Linked DNA regions of Lytechinus pictus. The protein of the gene in region 1 purifies or fractionates together with the protein of each later gene. This does not show direct contact. Links are inferred from orthologs where the notes say so. Each region holds a gene or a part of one and is shown on either strand. Other genes may lie near its edges. The genes, in order: paired amphipathic helix protein Sin3a-like and lysine-specific demethylase 5A-like.

The links.
Region 2: the proteins of paired amphipathic helix protein Sin3a-like (region 1) and lysine-specific demethylase 5A-like purify together in Drosophila melanogaster (affinity purification with western blotting; 3 studies listed by BioGRID, with this or other methods). This does not show direct contact. The link is inferred for Lytechinus pictus from reciprocal best matches to the Drosophila melanogaster genes Sin3A and Kdm5.

The regions. Positions count from the first base shown.
Region 1 is NC_087247.1:13,908,888-13,919,526, forward strand, and holds the start of paired amphipathic helix protein Sin3a-like, read left to right. Parts: upstream 1-4,005; 5' UTR 4,006-4,105; intron 4,106-4,330; exon of another isoform or gene 4,331-4,415; intron 4,416-4,520; exon of another isoform or gene 4,521-4,609; intron 4,610-10,639.
Region 2 is NC_087247.1:31,238,028-31,248,464, reverse strand, and holds the start of lysine-specific demethylase 5A-like, read right to left. Parts: upstream 5,306-10,437; 5' UTR 5,145-5,305; coding exon 4,998-5,144; intron 1-4,997. UniProt on the Drosophila melanogaster protein: Histone demethylase that specifically demethylates 'Lys-4' of histone H3, thereby playing a central role in histone code. Does not demethylate histone H3 'Lys-9', H3 'Lys-27', H3 'Lys-36', H3 'Lys-79' or H4 'Lys-20'.

The DNA.
Region 1 (10,639 bases):
GTATGGCATACATATATAACACTAATAACAAGAGGTGACAGTCTGTGGTATATGCAATTGAGCTTGAAAACTAGGTGGGAGGATCTAAGGAGATTTATCAGAATGGGGTTAAATGATATGATTGCTCAGGGAATAATTTTGCTGGACAAATTTGAATAGCATTTTTGGTCATAAGAGAAAAGCTCTCAACTATTATAATGTACAGTCCTATGTAAAAATATGCTATTCAAAAGACTTTATGCATAGCAGTCTTTCAAAAATGTGGAGCGAATTGCGATGCGATACGAGGAAAATTATTCCCTGTTGCTCATTTGTAAGAGTTGCTTATTTGTCATTGAATTTTTTTAATATGGTAATGTTTTCATGAAATTCATGGATCAAAGCATACATGTGTAATGCTTATATCATCATCTTGCATCAAATTTTCTTTTGGAACTGTCAGTTTTTGTATACCGTTCAGATATTGTTCTTTTTTTTCTACATACATTCTGTTACATGTAACTTATTATTTTGTGCAATAGAAGCCATAATTTACATGCACTTATTTAAAAACTTTATGCAATTTTTTCTTGATCCTGAAAGACTGATTAATTCTTTGAATTCAAGAGATCATGTACCATTGTACAATATCATGCCTTTAGATGTTGTATAATAATGTCTCCAATCTTAAAACCTTTTCTTTTACTTTATTGCTTTTCTATCCAGTGGGATTTTTTTCAAGATTTTATCATATGATGCTAATTGTTCTGAATTCATTAACTCTTTCATGATTGTCATAATAAAGTATTTATTGTTAACGAATTATAAGATGGATTCATGTTCTCTTGGTGTCTTGTTACAAAAAGGAATAAACTTTCTTTCGATTTACATGCACATAAACAGTGTTTCTAGTATCTGCTTTTGTGTAGCTTGTGATGTAAGTTTTCAAAATGTGAAGGTTTTGTTGTTCAGAAGTGGAAACTTGCTTACCTTTTCATTTGTGTCATCACATATGATGAAATGAAATATTGATTTTATGAACCAAATTTTGATTTGACAAAGGGTAAATTATTAATAGATTGACTAAGTGAGAGTAAGTTAGTTGGGCTGTAGAGTAATTAGTCCAAATTGAGAGTAGATCAAGTGGTTGTTAGGCAGAGATGGAAATGGCAGAGGTGAATATGGCAAATCTTAAGGAACTGACGGAGGCAAAAATGACAGGTTAAATTGGCATGCTACATTAACTTGGAAAAGAGAGAGCCTTTCCCGTCGATATCAACGATCTATCTATGATTTATGAGTCCGATATACTAGTAATTCAAATTATCTTGTAACAACCTTTCTTAGTTAACTAGCCATCTATATGCAGGAGATTAACTGCCATTTTTACAGCTTTACATTTCCTTAATTGAATTACAGGGTCTGATGTAGAGTTACACTCCCAGAGCTCATTTTGATACTCATCCGTATCCCCACCCCCACCCATCTTTTTTTATGGGGGTGGCGCCACCCCTGGTATTTACATTAAAAATTGTCATTGTGGTTTCATTTATTGTGTTACTTTAGCATTTGGGGAATTCTAATATTCTATATACTGAATTAAGATTGGCCTACTGTACGCCTCGTAAAAAAATTCTTCATGTCGTTTTCATATCAATGCACAGAGAGATAAAATATAATAGTAATAATAATAATGATGACACCCAACGTGCTTTTCCCAAATGGCCCAAAGCGCTTACAATTTAAGTTTACCTAATTCATGCAAAAACAAATACAGAATGAATGAACAAACACGTTTTTTATGAACATCTTAAATGATTCAACTTTTGGGGACTTTGTCTTAATGTGAGAGGGAGATTGTTCCATTCCATTGAGGATGCAAAAGTGAAGGTTCTATCTCCGGTCCGTTTTCGTTCTGTTGCACATATGCAATTAATATATGCAGATCCTCTGAAGACCCAATGGAATTAACGTATATGTTAACTTAAGTGGGTCTTTAGAGGAGTCTAGTTTTTCTACCTGGGATATAAATTTCTAAACAATCAGACAAATATTTTTGGGGGCTAGGTTATATACCAAAAGAAGTAGCTTGAAAATGATCCGATATGGTGCCAGTGTAAATTATGTAACAGGGGTTCAGGAGGTGTGTCACGGCGGACTTCGAAATTCAAGACGGAGGCGCTGTAGACGATTTATCCCCTTTCCCATACCCCACCCCCTCCCCATGAAAGATTCTGTCAAAAGCCAACGTTTTGCTCAAGTGACATTCTAAACATTCTACAGTCATGTGCATTTCAAAATTTACCAAAACGAAAATGAAAATGTGAACATGCATACATGCACTAAGTCTGAATTGGAGTTACAATCAAATGTTATAACAATTAACAAAACAAAAAGTCTCTGTATGCTTGCATTTCGAATTTCAAACAGTTACGATTCTGACCAAAATAAATGTTTCCAAACATAATTGAAAACTATATAACCGATGGAAAATTACCACTATATTTTACTTTTCTCCTTGTATGTTTTTATCTATATATCTTATGATTTTTTTAAGGGAATAACTGTACTTGTTGATTTACTAGATCATGAAATCGAGTTCTAATTGGTTAAAGGAAATTACAGCTACACCAAATTATCAGTTTGGCTAAGTATCGTACAGTCTAAAAACAAATCAGTAAAAAATGACTATAGTGAATAGGGTCAGCTGGGTGCCACTGTTATTCTCGTTATTTGACTATTTTCTTGTCGTATTTTACTAGAATAGAGTATAGAATATATGTCAGAAATGTGACTAGCATATCAGTTGCACCCAGCTATGACCACTTGTCCAGTCAATTTGACTGATTTGTTTTAAGAGTGTATATTCCACAAACTAGCGGATTAAAAATCAAGATTTTATCATTTATACATTCCTCTCCAATACGCAGAAACAACATTAAGCTAACAAATGTAATTTAGAAAAGGTTATGGAGACAAACAATATACAAATTTACGTGTAGTTGAGGCAGAAAATAGAGAGTGACTAAAGGCCTTGGAGGGGCAGGAGAAGATTGTCACCCCCTGAAAATCGATTCGCCCCTCAATAAGTTTGAAAACTTGAAAAAGAAAAATAGCTATACTGAGCTGTTAAACTTGGCATGAAAAAAAGTAAAAATACTAATACAAAATTTTCATTTATTTTGCACACCTTTGCCATGCAAAATTATGTAATAGAAAATTTGGCACGCCGAAAATATTGGACAATTGTAGATTAGGCCTAATACCACTTTTCAATGACAAACAGCCTCCCATAATGATCAGTCTTTTTTTTTTACACTTATTTCACAATAATTTTTTTTTGTATTTATATGACTTATTTCACAATTATGGTTTATACATGTAATTGGCACACATTCTTGATATACTGACTTTCATGGCTATAAACAATCTTTTCGTCTTCTGATGGCGAAGAGAGAAATTATCAGGAGAAAGAAATAATACTCGAAGCTGTGTGCATTGATAGAAATACATGAAGGCCTATATACAGCAAAACGATTGGAGTTATGAACATCTTTCTTTTAATATACCCAAATTTGAATTAAGTGTAAATAATTGCTATGCAACACACCGGGTACATGCGATCGAAGTTTCTGTTATTTCGGTAATTTTCAAAATTGTATAATTCACAGAATAAATAATAAAGACACCCATGTATTGTTCAAGCTTGTGCATTTCTGCCAGGATCAGTTTACGTTCAGGAATACGTTAGGCTAATCATTCCCGTAAAGTGGGAGTAGACTTTTCGAGCACCAATTCCATAGAACTTCCAACAAATTGATAAAATTTAGAACCTCGCGCCGCAAACTTCAAACACTTCTTACAATCAACTAAATTCTATTTTCATTGGCTTGTTAAGGATTGTGGGCGTAGGGCGCGCGTTTCACCTGTCAGGGTTCGCGTGTATGCAGCTCATCATTGGTCACTTAATGAATTAACGTTGTGACGTAGACTACTGCCCATAGGTCGTACGTATTATATGCAAATAAGCATAACAGTGTATCTTTCCCGAAATAAGGATGTGGATTTACCCGTAGATTTGGACGTAAAATCCGAGGAAATCTGGACCATCTGATTGATTTCACTGGTAATTCTCTCTAGGTTTATTTGTTGAAGTGTTCTTTTCTCTAGCATTGTATGGCAAATCTTTTGATCGCAGGTTGGATGATAATCTTTTATATTTTAGCAAGGTTTTCACAGCGGAGACCATAGAAAATTTCGACCCGAACTCTCCCTATGTTTTGATCGTCAAGCGTCTCGCACTGCCCAGCTGGTGAGGTTGTTGTATGGGACTGCAATTTTGATGGTTGTTTCTTCACAGATAGCCTCATGTTTACGTTATTTTAAAGGTGGATGGATAGGGGATGTTAATCACTGTGTATTGCGGAACCTTTAGTGTAAGTTATATATATTTTGTTAATCTGAGAATACATTTTCTTCGAGTTTTGGTGACAAAAGACGTGAATTATGTCCCGACGTCCGACTTGTTCTGCGTTGGTTGTGCACTGTCTTCGCGCGATGTTTGACATGGTATGTGTTGGAAAATTGTAAAATTTTGTGTGTTGGAATTCATCTGAGCATTTCAATTTCTGTAAGTAATAGACCTTGTTTATTTTCCATCATTTTCATATTTGATTTGTAGGTATTCGTTGGAAGATTGAATGATACTGAAGATTATAATTCTGCTCCAAATGTCCGCCCCAAAACGGATTGGCCATTGCACGTTAAATTATGTTCCCATTATTGTGTGCATATCATGCGGTGCTTGTGTGTAGGCCGTGGTGAATTGTGGCGTCTGCCTTTGACTTCGACCGATGTGATTATTCAGAGAAAACCAAGGGAATATGCCAGTTTTATTCCATATTTGCATTCAAAATCATTTAATTTACTATTTGTTTTTATCACCATGATCATTTTGCAAATTTACCACACAAAGTCTGCTATGGAATCGTCTAATTTCTTGTTTATGTGAGCACTTTAGTTCTGTGATTTTTGTGCGGTGGATTGACAACAGCCAGCTTCCTGGTTATCTCAAAGATATTGTTTATGGGCTGATACCATTTTTGTGTAGGGGTCTTTGGGGTGGTAGTTGTGGGATGTGTCTTAACTTTTTTTTCTTTTCCCCCTTTTATTATTCGTTAAGACACCTTTTATGTAAGATAAAGAAAATTACATGTTCTTTTTTTTTATATTTTAAGATATAAATTAAAATTGTATGTTCTTTCTTGATGATTAGACGGCTTTGGCTTTGCGTGCTAGGTTTAAATCGCCAGTCTTCCTATTTTTAATGGTTCATGCTGATCATCCAAGGAGAGTTTCAGTCAGCCATTTTTTGACACAGCAACAACTTGCTTCGGCGAGTCATTGGGTCTGTGCATTCATTGCAGATTTCCATGTGTTGTAGTCCCTCGTAGTATGCACACAATGTATTGACCTAGCAGAGGTGGACTATTATTAGCTTTGTTTGAGGTGGAACATGGCTGAAAGCACACCCTATGTTGAATTTTTCAGTTCCAAAGCATGAAATATTATATTGTCATGCATGCCAATGCCATTGACAATGTCATTTGAATTATACATGTTTATCCATGGACATTTTATGAATTCCCTCTTAAAGTAAACACACCAAAAAGGCTATGTTTATGCTATTTCTGATTACCTGTATTTGTCAATTGTCATGTCCGAATTCCTCAGTCTCATTCAGGAGTAACTGTAATCTCATAAAGTTTACATGTACATGTCATGTAACAAAACAAATGAATGGTATGGATATGAAATAAATGACATGTAAATTGTAAGCACAGGAATTATTTATTCTTAAACTGGTTTTGCTAATTGGAGGATCAAGGATGTAGCTTATAAGTGAATATTCTTGAGTCAGAAATTGTGAAATGTTTGCATCATGAACAGGCATGTTGGAGTGTAATGGTGCAAATTATAATTGTTTCATGTCATTGGTTGAAAATCAAGTTGTGCATGATTTTTAGAGTTGCAATCAATCGCAACTCTAAAAATCACGCGCAACTTGATTTTCAACCAATGAACAGCGCGCATTTGGTACTTGCGATTTTTTTTGGCTTGCGTTTAAACGCAACTCTTTCTGCAACGGGCCCCATCCATAAACTGTCACAACTCAAGGTATTTTTTGTGATGTGTTGCTGTAGGTGGAGGATCAAACTTACATAAAGAAATTAATCATGATTTTTGAAGCAAACTGGAATTTGAATTTTCCAAATTTGGCTGTGTTGCCCGAGTTGAGTGTGGCAGAATGTTTTTAATTTTTGTGGGTAATTTTCAACAAAGTTGATGATGCCACTTTCTTTATTTCTTTTTCTTTTTTGTTTAGAGTTTGCACCATTATTTTTTTTCTACATGCAGTATTTACATATTGTAAATCTTTTGAATGCAACACTGAACACAATCAAATTTAACACATACATTTAAAGGTCAAGTCCACCCCAGGAAAATGCTGACTTGAATAAATAGCTCTAGAAAAATCAAACTAGCATAGTGCTGAAAATTTCATCAAAATCGGATGTAAAATAAGAAAGTTATGACATTTTAAAGTTTCGCTTATTTTTCACAAAACAGTGATATGCACAACTACAGTAAATGAGTCAGTCGATGATGTCCATCACTCACTATTTCTTTTGTTTTTTATTGTTTGAATTATACAATATTTCATTTTTTATAGATTTGACAATAAGGACGAACTTGACTGAAACATACATGTAGTATTAAACAATGCTAATGCCACATGTACAGGGAGGAATTAATAGTTGTATCACTTGACAATGAGGAGTAAATTAGACTATTTCATATAATAAAATACAAAAGAAATAGTGAGTGGATGACGTCATAGTCTCCTCATTTGCATACCAGCCAGGATGTGCATATTACTGTTTTGTGAAATTAAGCGAAATTTTAAAATGTTATAACTTTCTTATTTTACATCCGATTTTGATGAAATTTTCAGTGTTATGCTTGTTGGATTTTTTCTCTTTTTATTCAAATCAACTTTTTGTTGGGGTGGACTTGTCCTTTGAGGATTAATTAGTGACAATGTTCATCATATAAATTTTAGATTCATTTACTAGCAGGCCTATCTGTAATGATTAAATCAGTCAAGCTATTTTTGTCTCACCTGCATAGCAGAGTGAAACTAAAGGCGCCGCTTTTCCAATGGCAGCGGCGTCAACATCAAATCTTAACCAAAGGTTAAGTTTTTGAAATGACAGCATAACTTAAAAAAAAGTATATGGACCTAGTTCATGAAACTTGGCCAAAAGGGTAATCAAGTATTACTGAACATCCAGCCTGTGTTTCAAGTCACATGACCAAGGTCAAAGGTCATAGGTCATTGAGGGTCAATGAACTTTGACCAAGTTGGGGGTATTTGTTGAATTACATGTACCATCATAACTTTGAAAGTTTATGGATCTGATTGATATAACTTGGACTTAAGTGTAATCAAGTTTCACTGAACATCTTGTGGGAGTTGAATTACCATCATACATGTAACTCTGAAAGTGTATGGATCTAGTTCATAAAACTTGGACATAAGAGTAATCAAGTATCACTGAACATCTTGTGCGAGTTTCAGGTCACATGACCAAAGTCAAAGGTCTTTTAAGGTCAATGAACTTTGGCCACGTTGGAGGTAATTATCAAATTGCTGTCATAACTTACAGAGTTTATGGATAGTTTGTGAAATGTGGACATAGGTGTAATCACTGACAAGTCTTAAGTATCACTGACAAGTCTTAGGTCACATGATCAATGTCAAATATCATTTAGGGTCAATGAACGTAGTATTGTATCATATGAATGGTGCTTTTTGTGAATAATCATTTTATAGTAGTTTTCAAGTCAGCACTGCTGCTATATTGAATCGCTTAATGCAGGTGAGACTGCCAGAGGTGCTCCACTTGTTAAGAGTAATTAAGCCCCCATTCCACAGAGGGGAGATTTTTAAAACAATACCTTTGAAAGACAAAAAAATGGCAAGGTCTTAGAGCAATCTCCAAGATCACTGAATTTGTCATCTCTGTGGAATGGCTCAAAAAGACCACTCAAAGAACTCTGAAAGACCGATTGATACTTCTTGTCTTACTAGTCATATAGACATCTTTCAATTGTCTTTCAGAGATCTTTTATGCAACAAGTGATCTTTCAGAATTCTTTCGAGTTTCCATGGACTTTTCCTGGTCTTTCAAGTTTCAATGATCTCTCATGAGTCTTACAGAGCTACAGTGGTGCTACATAATGGTGCATTTGCGGCAATGACTTCACTGTACATTTGCATGTAATTGCTTACAAGTACAATTTATTATTTTATTTTAGAATAAAGGAAAATAAAGTTACTTCCATTTATTATTTAAAAAAATAATTTTTTAGAATAAAACTCAAATAAGCATAATAAATTTCACTCAAAACAAATGTAAAATAGGAAAGTTATGACATTATTAAGTTTCACTTAATTTCCCAGTACAAAATTACAATGCACATCTGTCATCTGGTCAATATGCAAATGTGGGAACTAGGAACCAATAATGTCACCCACTCTCATTTCTTTTCTATTTTATTATATGAAATATGCCATACATGTATGTATATTGTCTCAGTTTAATGTGAAACAGAATTATTACTTCCTAACCAGGAGGAATTTAGATTGTATTGAATGAAGAGTTTCTGTTCAAATCAATGAAATATTGTTATAGTCTAAAACAATGAAATACAAACGAAATTGTAAGTGTGCCAAATTGACAATAATGTGTATGTCACTTTGATGTGCAGACACTGCAGAACCAGTTTATTGAAAATAAGTGAAATTTTAAAATGCCATAACTTTCATATTTTCCATTCAGTTTTGATGGAATTTTCAGTATTATTCATTTGGTCTTATTCAAACCAGCTTTTTATTGGTTTAGATTTCCAATTTAAAGGAAAATTAGCTTGTGTGAAAGCATAAAAATCAAAGAATAAGCTCAACAAAAGTTTGTGTAAAATTGGACAAGAAGAATGTTCAGACTTATGAGCATTTGAATGTCATTTTCACCAATGTTGTGGAAATACTGCAATCTTCCCATGATCAATTAGCTAGGTGAGCAAGAACTGTGATTTCAAACATGTTCAGGCTTTTGGACATTGCAAATATACACCAAATCATCTCTTAAGATATAAAGGACAAGTCCACCACAACAAAATATTGGTTTGAATAAAAAGAGAAAAATCAAACGAGCATAATACCGAAAATTTTATCAAATCGGATGTAAAATAAAGTTATGACGGTTAAAGTTTTGCTTAATTTCACAAAACAGTCATATTCAAATCTTGATCGGTATGCGAATAAGGAGACCGATGACGTCATCCACTCACTACTAGTATTTCTTTGGTATTTCTTGAAATGAAATGTAAATATGCTTATTTTCTCCTCATTGCCATGCAAAATAATGATTTATTCCTCCCTGAATGTGTAATTACCATTGTTTTCACATTTTGTAGTTCAAACAAGAGGGTTCTTATTGCCAAATGAAATATGTAAAAATTGAAATATTCAGTGGACTTGACCTTTAAGTTCTGACTAAACAATTCTTCTGTGATATGTTTTCAAACCTACACATGTACATGTACATGCCACTTAAAAAAATAAAAACGCCTAATTTTGCGAGAGACCTGATATAAGAGAAAATTGACGTGAAATTGTACTTCCATGTACATTAGGTAATTGGGAAGTTATGACATCGCAGATCTTGGTCATATTTGCCATTAGAAGGATCTACATAGAATTAGTGATCTAAATGTTTTCCTTAAAAGATTCTTCATTCTTGTTATTTTTATTGACCATTAAGCTACATGGACATGTGTAGGCCCAAGTCAAAACTTATAATTAGTAGCCTATCTTGCCCATTCCAAACATTACTCTACCAGTTTTACAACATTTCGGGTGGCCGCAAGTAGCTGCTTGGAGCAATTTTATTCGCCATTAAAAAAAAGAAGCAAAACAATGATTTTTTTTTTCGGGGGGGGGGGTCAAATTTGAGTAGAAAATGTCTGCAGTCTGCAGGTTTGAAAAGGGTCACTTGGGTGCAGCATTGAATTTTTTGCCTTACCATTCAATGTTGATTTCAATTTTCGCTTCTTCAAAAAGTGTAATCAAACTTGGACGAGTTCAAAGGTTTCTCTCAAATTACATGACTGCAAGACCACAAATCATATTTTTTTATTTATAAAAGAAGGCAGCCAACTACAATTTATCCCCATCAGAATGGGATTTTAATACCCTTATTCTGAGCTATCTGTACATTGTAGTATGCCTGAGTCATCCCGTTTTTTCTCGCCTGCTTAGCATCTTGCGTTAGTTTTAGGTCACATGACCAAAGTTAAATGTCATTTAAGGTCAATGAACGGTAGGAGTATTTGTTGAATTGCCATCATAAATTTGAAAGTATATGGATCTAGTTCATGAAACTTAAAGTCGTTAGACAAAAGAGTTCTCAAGTATGACTGAACATTCTGTATGAATTTCAGGTCACATGACCAAGGTCATTTAAGGTCAATGAACTCTGGCAATAATGGGGGTATTTGCTAAATTGCCATCATAACTTTGAAAGTTTATGGA
Region 2 (10,437 bases), about 17 Mb from region 1:
CTAAAGTATCAACGCGCGCGCAAAGCGCAAGCTGAAATGTTTAGTATACTGACCAGAAAAGGAAGCTGTTAAGGACTGCATTTAGTGACTCATAAATAGGATACAGAACTCACCAATCAAACTAAAGATGCTCGGCGGGTCGTGCAGCCGAGAACATGTATCCCACGAACCCACCGCGTCATCCGTCATTGGGATATATAGAGCTCACACAGAAATTTGACAAATAAATACAATTATCATGGCGATAATGACCCTGCCCACATTTTGCCTGTGGGTACCAAATTTGGTGACAATAATATGAAGTACTGTCCAGTATCACCTGTTGGGGAATACAATTATAGAGTAATCTGGATGTATTTTGTAAACCTAACCCTAAAACCCCCATAAAAAATGATAGGCATCTTCGCTTCACCTTCTAATAGGCTATTGCTTCTGTGTGCCAACTGTTATGACAAACTGGAAAAAAAGCAGAAGTTACAGGTTTTACCAAATTTTCCACAAAAATATGGTTACCATGGCAACCATGTCTCCAACCACTCCAAAATCATTAGATGGCTTTGCTTTACCATAATGGACCTTCATGACAAATTTGAAGATAATAGGAGAAGAAATGCAGCCAGTAGAGCACTCACAAGGAAATCTCTGCTATTTCCACAAAAACTCTTGTTACCATGGTAACAATGTCTCCACCCACACGAAAATCAGTAGGCGGCTTTGCTTAATGGACCTTCATGCTACATTTGAAGATGACCGGAGAAGAAATGCAGCTGGTAGAGCGCTCACAAGGACATCTCTGCTATTTCCACAAAAACTTGTTACCATGGCAGCGATGTCTCCGTCCACACCAAAATCAATAGGTGGCTTTGCTTAACCATATAATGGACCTTCATGCCACATTTGAAGATGATCGGAGAAGAAATGCAGCTAGTAGAGTGCTCACAGGGACATCGAGCTGCTATTCCACAAAAACTCTTGTTACCATGGCAATGAAGTCTCCGCCCACACCAAAATCAATAGACAGCTTCGCTTTGCCATAATGGACCTTCATGCCACATTTCAAGATAATCGGAGAATAAATGCAGATGGTAGAGCGCTCACAAGGACATCTCTGCTATTCCACAAAAACTCATTACCATGGCAACTATGTCTCTGCCCACAGCAAAATCGATAGGCGGCTTCGCTATACGATACTTGACCTTCATGCCAAATTTGAAGATGATCGGAGAAGAAATGCAGCTGATAGAGCGCTCACAAGGAAATCTCTGTGGCGACGGGGGGGGGGGGGGGGGAGAGTCAGGAGAGCACAAAGCGCAAGTTGAAATTTTGAAATGCTGACCTGAAAAATTAATCATTTTTAGGAGTCTTGTCAGTTTTCATGGTTTTTTCTGCTTACAACCACTTTTAAATTTCAATTTTCATTATAGTATCTTCTACACTTACATGTATTTTACCTCAAAACCGGAATAAAGAATAAAGTTATATTCAAAAGGATATAAAATAAACGGGGCACTCCCCATACCCTTAGTTTGGGGGGGGGGGGTAAATGAATTTATTCTTGAAACAGTAAAATAGGGTTCTCTATTTATAATCCATATTGACAAATACTTTGTTTATTTCCTTGAAACTGTAGTAAAATTAAATTCACTGTCGAATCATATAAAAAAGAAGTAAACATTTTTTTTAATTCGTTTTGTCAATCTGAGACACTAGACCCAAAACAAAATATGTACAATTTAGAAAAGATGTACATGTACTGCCTATCAACATATTAACTGATTTTGCAGTATATTCTGCCTAGAACCAGCCAAATATTAAAGTCACCCCTATCTTTCTTACGCCCTCACATGTTTTCCCACTTCTCCTCTCTCTCTCTCTCTCTCTTCACATTCCTCTTTCTCGCCTGTTTAAAAAATATCAGCCCCCCCCCCCAAATAAAAAAAAGGGGGAGAGAGAGAAAGAAGTTCCACCACCGAGAATAAAATTAGAAAAGGAGTAAATGTGATATTATTTTCCAAAACATATTGTCACAATCTATCACAAAATTAACTTTTCTTTTAATATAGACAGAGGGTGCAAAATTTTGCTCGCTCGCTTCAATCCCCTTTCAACCTTTTTGGCAGAAATTTTGCTCTATATGCCATGCTTGGCCCCTCATAAAATAAAAAATAGAAATATTCGGAAAATGATATCATATTTTACCTTTCTCTCTTTTCTTTCCTTTTTTTTTAGTCGTCATTTTTTTGTTTGGGGGGGGGCTTGAGGAAGTGCCTCAAGCCCCTCCCCCCATCTGTGGGCCTATACTAATAGTCTATAAATAGTATATTGTTGTTATTATTTGATGAATAATTTTCAGAGAAACGACTGGTTCAGAAAACTATTAAACACAGCCTTTCGTGAAAAGCTCGACCCGGTTGTTGCGAAAAGGTGCGTTTATTTTACTCCCCTCCCTCAACCCACCCTTTCGAGAAAAGCTCCCCTGGTTTTCTTGAAAGGGTGCAGCCATCCCCGCTCCGCAAACGCAGATGATCGTAACAAGCCTGCATTGCATAAAGCGATTTATACATTTTTGTAAATCCAGCCAAGGCTGCATTTTGTGGCCATCACATGAAATGTCTGAAATTCAATATTTTTTCACCGTTTTAAGTAGGATTTTTTAATGATTATCTGTTCATGTATTGCAATAAAGTTTGTGGTCGTTGCATGTCTCCTTGTATTCGAATTGCGCAGATACACGTACATGGTACATGTAATCATGTATGCTGCAACGGCCGGAAATGGCTCGCCGCATGTACTCGGAGATTGATGACTGGTACTGTACATGTATGCGCAGACTTGGGGGACCTTACCATAGGCATAAGTAAGTACTGTAAAAAGAATTTACCAAATGGTGCCAATGTCCGCATAACCATTAATTTCAAGAATTTTGATTAAACCTGCATGTTAATCATACCATACACGTATTGTAAGAAAAGGCTATGGACAGAAAAGTCCATATCTGCTGTGGTTTCTTTGGAAAAAAAAAGAGATTTTCTTCATGTCACAAGATAATAAACACAATGGCAACATGTCAGGTCTGAAGTCATGATCACTGCATGTCTAATGATCCATGTCCATGTGAAAAGATTGTGTAAGCCTACATGTTTCTCGAAAGCCTTTTCAGTAAACTTTTTAACCAGATCAGCAGACCCCTAGATTTGGCAATTATGTTTCACTTGATTTCTTACAGTATTTCAGATATTCCTCAAACTGTGTCTACAGTTTGATGAGGAATGAATAGGTTTCTTTATGCTCAAGATGAATATGACAATATTTAAATTTGAAAGTACATGTAGTTTCTTGTTAGATTCATGACATACCGTAAGGGCACTAGTATTCAACCCGTTTGGAGAGTTTCCTCAAATATATAGAAATATAGAATTTACCTGAATTTCAGACCCGTCTTATTTCCAAGAGCAAATGCTGGTTATTCTTTTTCTGTTATTTTTTTCTTCAACCAGTTGACTGTGTGCGCGGGCGATCGAATTATACGGCGAGGGATTTTGGTACTAGTATTCAACCCGTCGGCACTAGTTTTCAACCTAGCGATGAAAGATGGCCCTGTCTCTCAATCTGCCCTTGTCCCATCCGACTATGGACTAGACCATTTGAGATGAGACCAAACAGGGAATTAATCAAAGCCAGAGACTTACATAGATCTAGATCTAATTTAGCAATCTAAACCCTTTTGAGATTTGCTATCAATCCTCACTAGGTTGAATACTAGTACCATTCAGTGCAAAAGGCCATCGCCGCATAATTCGATCCTCCGCGCCTACAGTCGACAGATTGACAAAGAAAATATCGACAACAGATTATCCTGGAAATAACAAAGGTATGAAATTAAGATAAATTCCCTATTTCTAAATATTTTGGGGAATATGTCAAAATCTTTGAATTATGCCGGGTTGAATACTAGTACCCATACGGTACATCTGTGATAACTAGTGTGAAATTTTCAATATGAATTTTCTACTACAGTGTACATGCATATGTATGTAGATCTCAACTCAAGGCCTAGCTTGAGTCTAGACCCTTATTATGAAATTATTCTTGAAATCCCCATCTACATCTAGACCTATGTAATATTTTTTCTGTTCGTCCAGATTCAAAACCTATCTGGACATAAAAAAGGTAACAACGGGGTTTAAATGTGCACAAAAATCCCATTCCCATGTCACTCATGACACAGCTGTGCTGTGCCAGTGAGCAGCAGGGTGGCCATTTTGTCAAAGCAAATTGTTCACAATTTGTCAATATTTGGATTGTTGAAAATAAAATGCAAAAGGGATTTCTGAAGAATTTTGTACAAGAAAATGCAGGTAATTGGAATTCTGGTCAATTTTGCTTGAAAATACTGTTTGTGTATCAGAATATTTCAATTTATGTGAAACAGAATATGGTCATTTGGCATTCTCAACTTGCAGTTCACCAGATTATTCAACCCACTCCAGCAAAATGTCTGAATTAACAGTTTTCTGACTGCTTCATGGGGATGAAAATGTCAGATAAAATTGAGATGGGCAGTCCAAAAAATGATATTGAAATTGTCAGCACACCATTTGCCTATCAACTGATGGTAAAAACTTCCTGATTTCTTCAATATATACGCTACGAAAACGAATTATTTGAAGGAAGTTTTTTCTGAATTAGCATCGTTGCATCACATTCGTCGAGTTCGAACAAAAGCCGAGGGAGCGTTTGCACGCAGTGACATTAGCGCAACCTCTACGCTGCATAGGCAGACACACGATCAACTATGGGAGCAAAGTCAAAAGCGAGATAAACAACTCCTTCATTTTAAGTGAAAGTACAAAATCTAATATATTTATGTGGGAATTGGGGACAAGATTACCGTAGAAAGGAATATTACCTAACATTTGAGAGCAAACATTCAATGAATGACAAGAGAAAAATATGTTAAAACTGAATTGTATTAAAACACATTTCGGTTGTCTTACCGGAGGAGGTCTAATTTTACAAATGCCAGTTTTCTCTGCAATGGGCCGTATCTTGGCAATGTAAGCGAGGGGGTCCGAGAAATCTTCCTCTGATGGTTCAAAAACGGGAGCTTCCGGTGGTGGAACGAAAGCCTGACCGTCATCCATGATTATGATTCCAATAAAATCCTTTATTATTTAGTCACACCACAGATTACTCCTTAAAGAGATGTGTTTTCAGTCACATATTTGTGATAAAAATGTTCCTCTCCGAAGTCGAAAACATTACCGTACGTAGATATCGTAATCGCACGATAAGCTATCGATATGCGAGCTGCACGTCACCATTGCGCATGTGTACAGCAGCGTATGGATGGAGTCGGACGGAGTTCAATGCCCCTTTACTTTCAAGTTAAAATTAAAATGTCTAATAATCTAAAAGCAGTTTGCATGGTTTAATAAAAGGTTTTGTAAACTGATCTATTCTTCTAAAAGATGACAACCTGACTAGACCCGTGATCTTTTCCTTTCATTAGAGGGGGACGCATATGCGGATCCAGGGGGGCCCGAGGGGCCCGCCCCCCCCGCCCCCTATTGACGGAGCAAAAAAAAAAGGAAAGAAATAAACAAACAACAAAAAAAGGAGGGAAAAGAGAGGAGAAAAAAGGAATGGAGGAAGACGAGTGAATAAAATAAGATGAGGGGAAGACTTGGAAAATGAAAAGAATCTTATGATGTCACTATAAAAATAAAATTTGCTCGTGCTTCGCGCTCGCATTGCCTGTTATGTGATTTTGTTCAATAAAGGTTATCTTGTTCAATATGGAGTTTAAATATCAAGTTTGGAAGTCAATATACAAAACATATTTCATCTCTAAAAATCGAACTTTCATTATTTTGTGAGATTTACTAAATGATTTTTAAAAATTGCTTTGTAAAAATGTCAGTTTTATGGTCTGAATATTAACATTTTCTGCTCGCGCTGCGCGCTAGCAAATTTTGATTTATCAGGTACTTATTATTTTCGTGTATTCCATTAAGTTGTCAAAATATCCCTTTTCAGGTTTGATTGTCACAACGTATCAGCTAGCGCTGCATGCTCGCATTTTGATGGTCGAGTTATGTATGTCTCAATATTGATTACATAACAAACTTCTTAAAATTCCCTTTTCATGACAGTGTTTAAAAAACTTAGGCTCGCAATTTGCGTTCGCGTTAATGGTTAAAGACATATTAACTGATGCAACCTATTTATAATTACAAAAGTGCTTGAAATATCCAGTTTCAGGCCATAATATCATCAGATTTCGCGCCCTCATTAGGCATTAATGAATAAGATATCAATTTAATAATTGAAATGTCCCTTTTGTTTCATCTCGCGCTTAGCAAGAAGAATAGGAAGACAGTCATCATTTTCATAATTATGATGACATGTCCTAAGGATGTCCTATCCGGTGTCCTATGTCCTATGTCAAAACTCAAAGTAATTATAATGAAAAATATCAGCTCTTTATCAAGTGCGATCGATATCCGCCTCACAATTTTCCTACAAAGTGCTTGAAATAGAGAGCTGAAATTGACTCTTTTTTCAGATCGGAATATCAAATAGTTTAAGCTCGCGCTTCTCGCGCTCGCTTTTATTTTCATGATAAAATATGTATATAGAATGCCTAGATTCTATGTCAAAATATGAAACACGCGCGCACATGTTTATTCAGATACTCAACTTGTTCTCTATTTAAATCATTATCCAGTTTCAGATCACAATATCAAAAAAATTCTGCTCGTGCTTTGTGTTCGCATTATTAATGTAGGGAGATCCCCTATGACTCATTCTTTTCATGATTTACAAAACATGAATAGCGTGTCCCGTTTTGGGGTCTAAATCTCGATTTTTTTTCCGCTCGCGCTTCGCGCTCGCATCAATGTTTAGTTATATAGCTATCCTGTTCACGATTACACAAATTGATTAAAATTTTCCATTCTAATGCAGAAATGTGAAAATTTTCAGCTCGCGCTTTGCGCTCGCATTATTTGATTGTTGAAATATGTAAACGTCTTCATGGCTAAGTGCATGCAAGTAGTCCTTAATAGGTACTTTTTCGATCAGTTCAAAACGCGTATAAAAATGTTCTGCTCACGCTTTGCGCTAGCATTATTAGTGTAAGGAAGATCCCCAATTACTCATCCTTTTCATGATTTACAAAACATGAATAGAGTGTCTCGTTCAGTGGGTCTAAATCTCGAAAATTTTCCGCTCGCATCAATGTTTAGTTATATACCTATTCTGTTTAAGTTACAAAAAGTGCTCAGAATTTCCATTCTTTAGGTAAAAATGTCAAAAATTTTCAGCTCGCGCTCGCATTATTTGATTTCTAAAATATAACGTCTTCATGGCTAACTGCATACAGTCTTTAACAAGTACTTTTTCCATCAGTTCATTTCTGCTCGCGCTTCGCGTTCGTAGTAATTATTTAGTTGCATACACATCTTTTTCAGGATAACAAAAATTGCCCAGAATGTTCATATTTTAGGAAAAAAATGCATAAGATTTCCAAAAAATTTAGCTCGCGCTTCGCGCTCGCATTATATAAATAAGGATTATGATATTATATATTTATGTTGATTTATAAGAATAAAGCTAAGAAGTGACTATTAGGATTACCCCTTCAAAGAAACCAAAAATCATCTTCGAGCGGCCGATCGGGGGAAATATGGCTGAAAAAAATTCAGCCCCCCCCCCCTATTGGCGAAGGCTGGATCCGCCCCTGGGGAGGGGGAGGGAACCACCTCCTATGATGTCAAGCCCGAGGGACTGCGTCAAGAATTCAAAACAAGAATTAAAAGGGAGAAAGGGAAAAGTATCAAGAAAATTATGAAAATGAGGGGCCTGGGCCGCGTAACTTTATTACACAGATAATTATGATCCAGAATCTGTCCTATAAATACCTGAGATATTTCAGGGGCGGATATCCAGCTTTCGCCATGATGGGGGGGGGGGGGCCGAAAAAATTCAATGAAAACTGGAGAAAGCAATTTGGTAATTATGAATCCCGGTTATGAATAGGATATGCATGGGTTCATATATTATCAACAATTTATTAATGCGAGTGCAAATCGCTAGTCAAAATTTTTGATAAAACGTCAGGAAAATGGGATCATAAAGTTTGTTATATAATATCAATAGAGGTATACATTACTCACCAATCAAAATGCGAGCGCGCAGTGCTAGCTATATTGGTTTTGACAATCAAACCGGAAAGGGATATAATTTAGATCACTTTATGGAACACACTAAGAGAATAGGTATTTTGCAAATCAAATAATGCGAGCGCGCAGCGCGAGCTGAAAATGTTGATACTCAGACAATAAAACGGACATTTTACAACTGAACACTTTTTGAAAATCAATTTGTAAATCAAACAAAATAATGAAAGCTCGACGTCCGAACTAAAATATATTTTGTATATTGACTTCGATACTTGATATTTAAAGCTCCATATCAGCCTATTGAGCAAGATATGATTATGTATTACATGTTCAGTGAGTCACCGAACATGCAATGCGAGCGCGAGCGAATTTTTTTTTAATGACCGTATGAAAGATTTTTTTTCCAAGTCTTCCCCTCACCTTATTTTATTCACTCGTCTTCCGCCTCTTTTTTCCTCTTCTTTTGTTTGTTCTCCCCTCTTTCCATTCTTTTCTTTCTTTCCCCTTTTTCTTTCGTTTTTGCTCCGCAAATGGGGGGGGGGGGGGGTTCCTCACCCCCCTGGATCGGCCTAAAGGCGTCTATGATATTGACGAAGGGACCTAGACCCTGTTCATCTTGAATGACACTTTTTATTTAAGCTTTAAGGCAATTATAATCATACTACTGAAAATACCCCTGTTCACTCGGAGAGGATGAGTTGACCAGGGCTCTGGGAGCGATTTTTAGAGAGGGAGTGCTGATGTGAATTTGACAACCAAAAAAAAAAGAAGAAGTTTTTACTTAAAATTGAGGTGCTTTCGGTCCCGAGAAATATTTAACAAGCAATAAAAAAAAACAGGGGGGTTCAATCCAGAATAAAAGTGGTTTTGGTCCACAGAAAAAAAAGGTTTTCCTAATAAATCTCGTTCACTTTTCATTACATTTTTGTCATTTATATGGTAACACACGGCGCAGCACTCCCAAGGAAAATTTTAGGGGGGGGGGGGGTGGTGCTTCACCCCCATAGCACCCCTGCTTCCCAGGACCATAATAATAATAGTAATAAAAATAATTATTATTTATGTTCCATTTGTATAGCGCAGCTACTATAATTGCTTGATACTTGTCGGGATACTTGGTATCATCATTACCCCGGCTGTAGCTGAGCCGCGCGCGCCGTATAGGCGCTAAAGCTTTCAAGGTATAGATCCTACCGGGTACCCATTCACCTAACCTGGGTCGAGTGCAGCACCATAGGCGGATCCAGGGGGGCCCGAGGGGCCCGCCCCCCCCCCCTATTGGCGGAGAAAAAAAAAGAAAAAAAAAGAAGGGAAAAGAGAGGAGAAAAAAAGAAGAAGAAACATAAGAGGAGGAAGACGAGTGAATAAAATAAGATGGGGGAAGACTTGGAAAATAATTTTAAAAATCTTTCATGTCGGGATATAAAATTTTCGCTCGCGCTTCGCGCTCGCATAACCCTTTAGGTGATTTACATATCTTGCTCAATATGGAGCTTAAAATATCAAATTTTGAAGTCCAAATACAAAACGTATTTCAGCTCGGAAATTTAACTTTCATTATTTTGTTTGCTTTACAAATTGATTTTTAAAAAGTGCTCTGTAAAAATGTATGTTTTATGGTCTGAATATTAACATTTTCTGCTTGCGCTGCGCGCACGCAAAATTTGATTTGTCAGGTACCTATTATTTTCCTGTATTCCATTAAGTTATCAAAATATCCCTATTCAGGTCAGATTGTCAAAACGTATCAGCTATAGCCCTGCACGCTCGCATTTTGATTGGTGAGTTATGTATATCTCAATATTGATTCTAAAACAAACTACTTAAAATCTCCATTTGATTACAGTTTATCAAAAATTATGGCACGCGATTACCGCTCGCATTGATTGTTGAAAGATATTATCTCATGCATCTTATTCATAATTACAAAAGTGTTTTAAAATAATGTCCAGTTTTCAGGCCATAATATTAACAGATTTCGCGCTCTCATGCTTAGGAAGAGAGATAGGAAGATTGTCATCATTTTCATATGATGACATAATGTCCTCATAGAATGTCCCGGTCAAATCTCTAAGTAATAATAATATCAGCTCTTTTTAAACTGTGATCCATATCCACCTCACAATTTTCCCACAAAGTGCTTGAAATACAGAGCTTAAATTGTCCCTTTTTCAGATCGGAATATCATATATTTTTAGCTCGCGCTTTGCGCTCGCTTTATTGGTTTTCATAATAAGAGAGGTATTTAGAA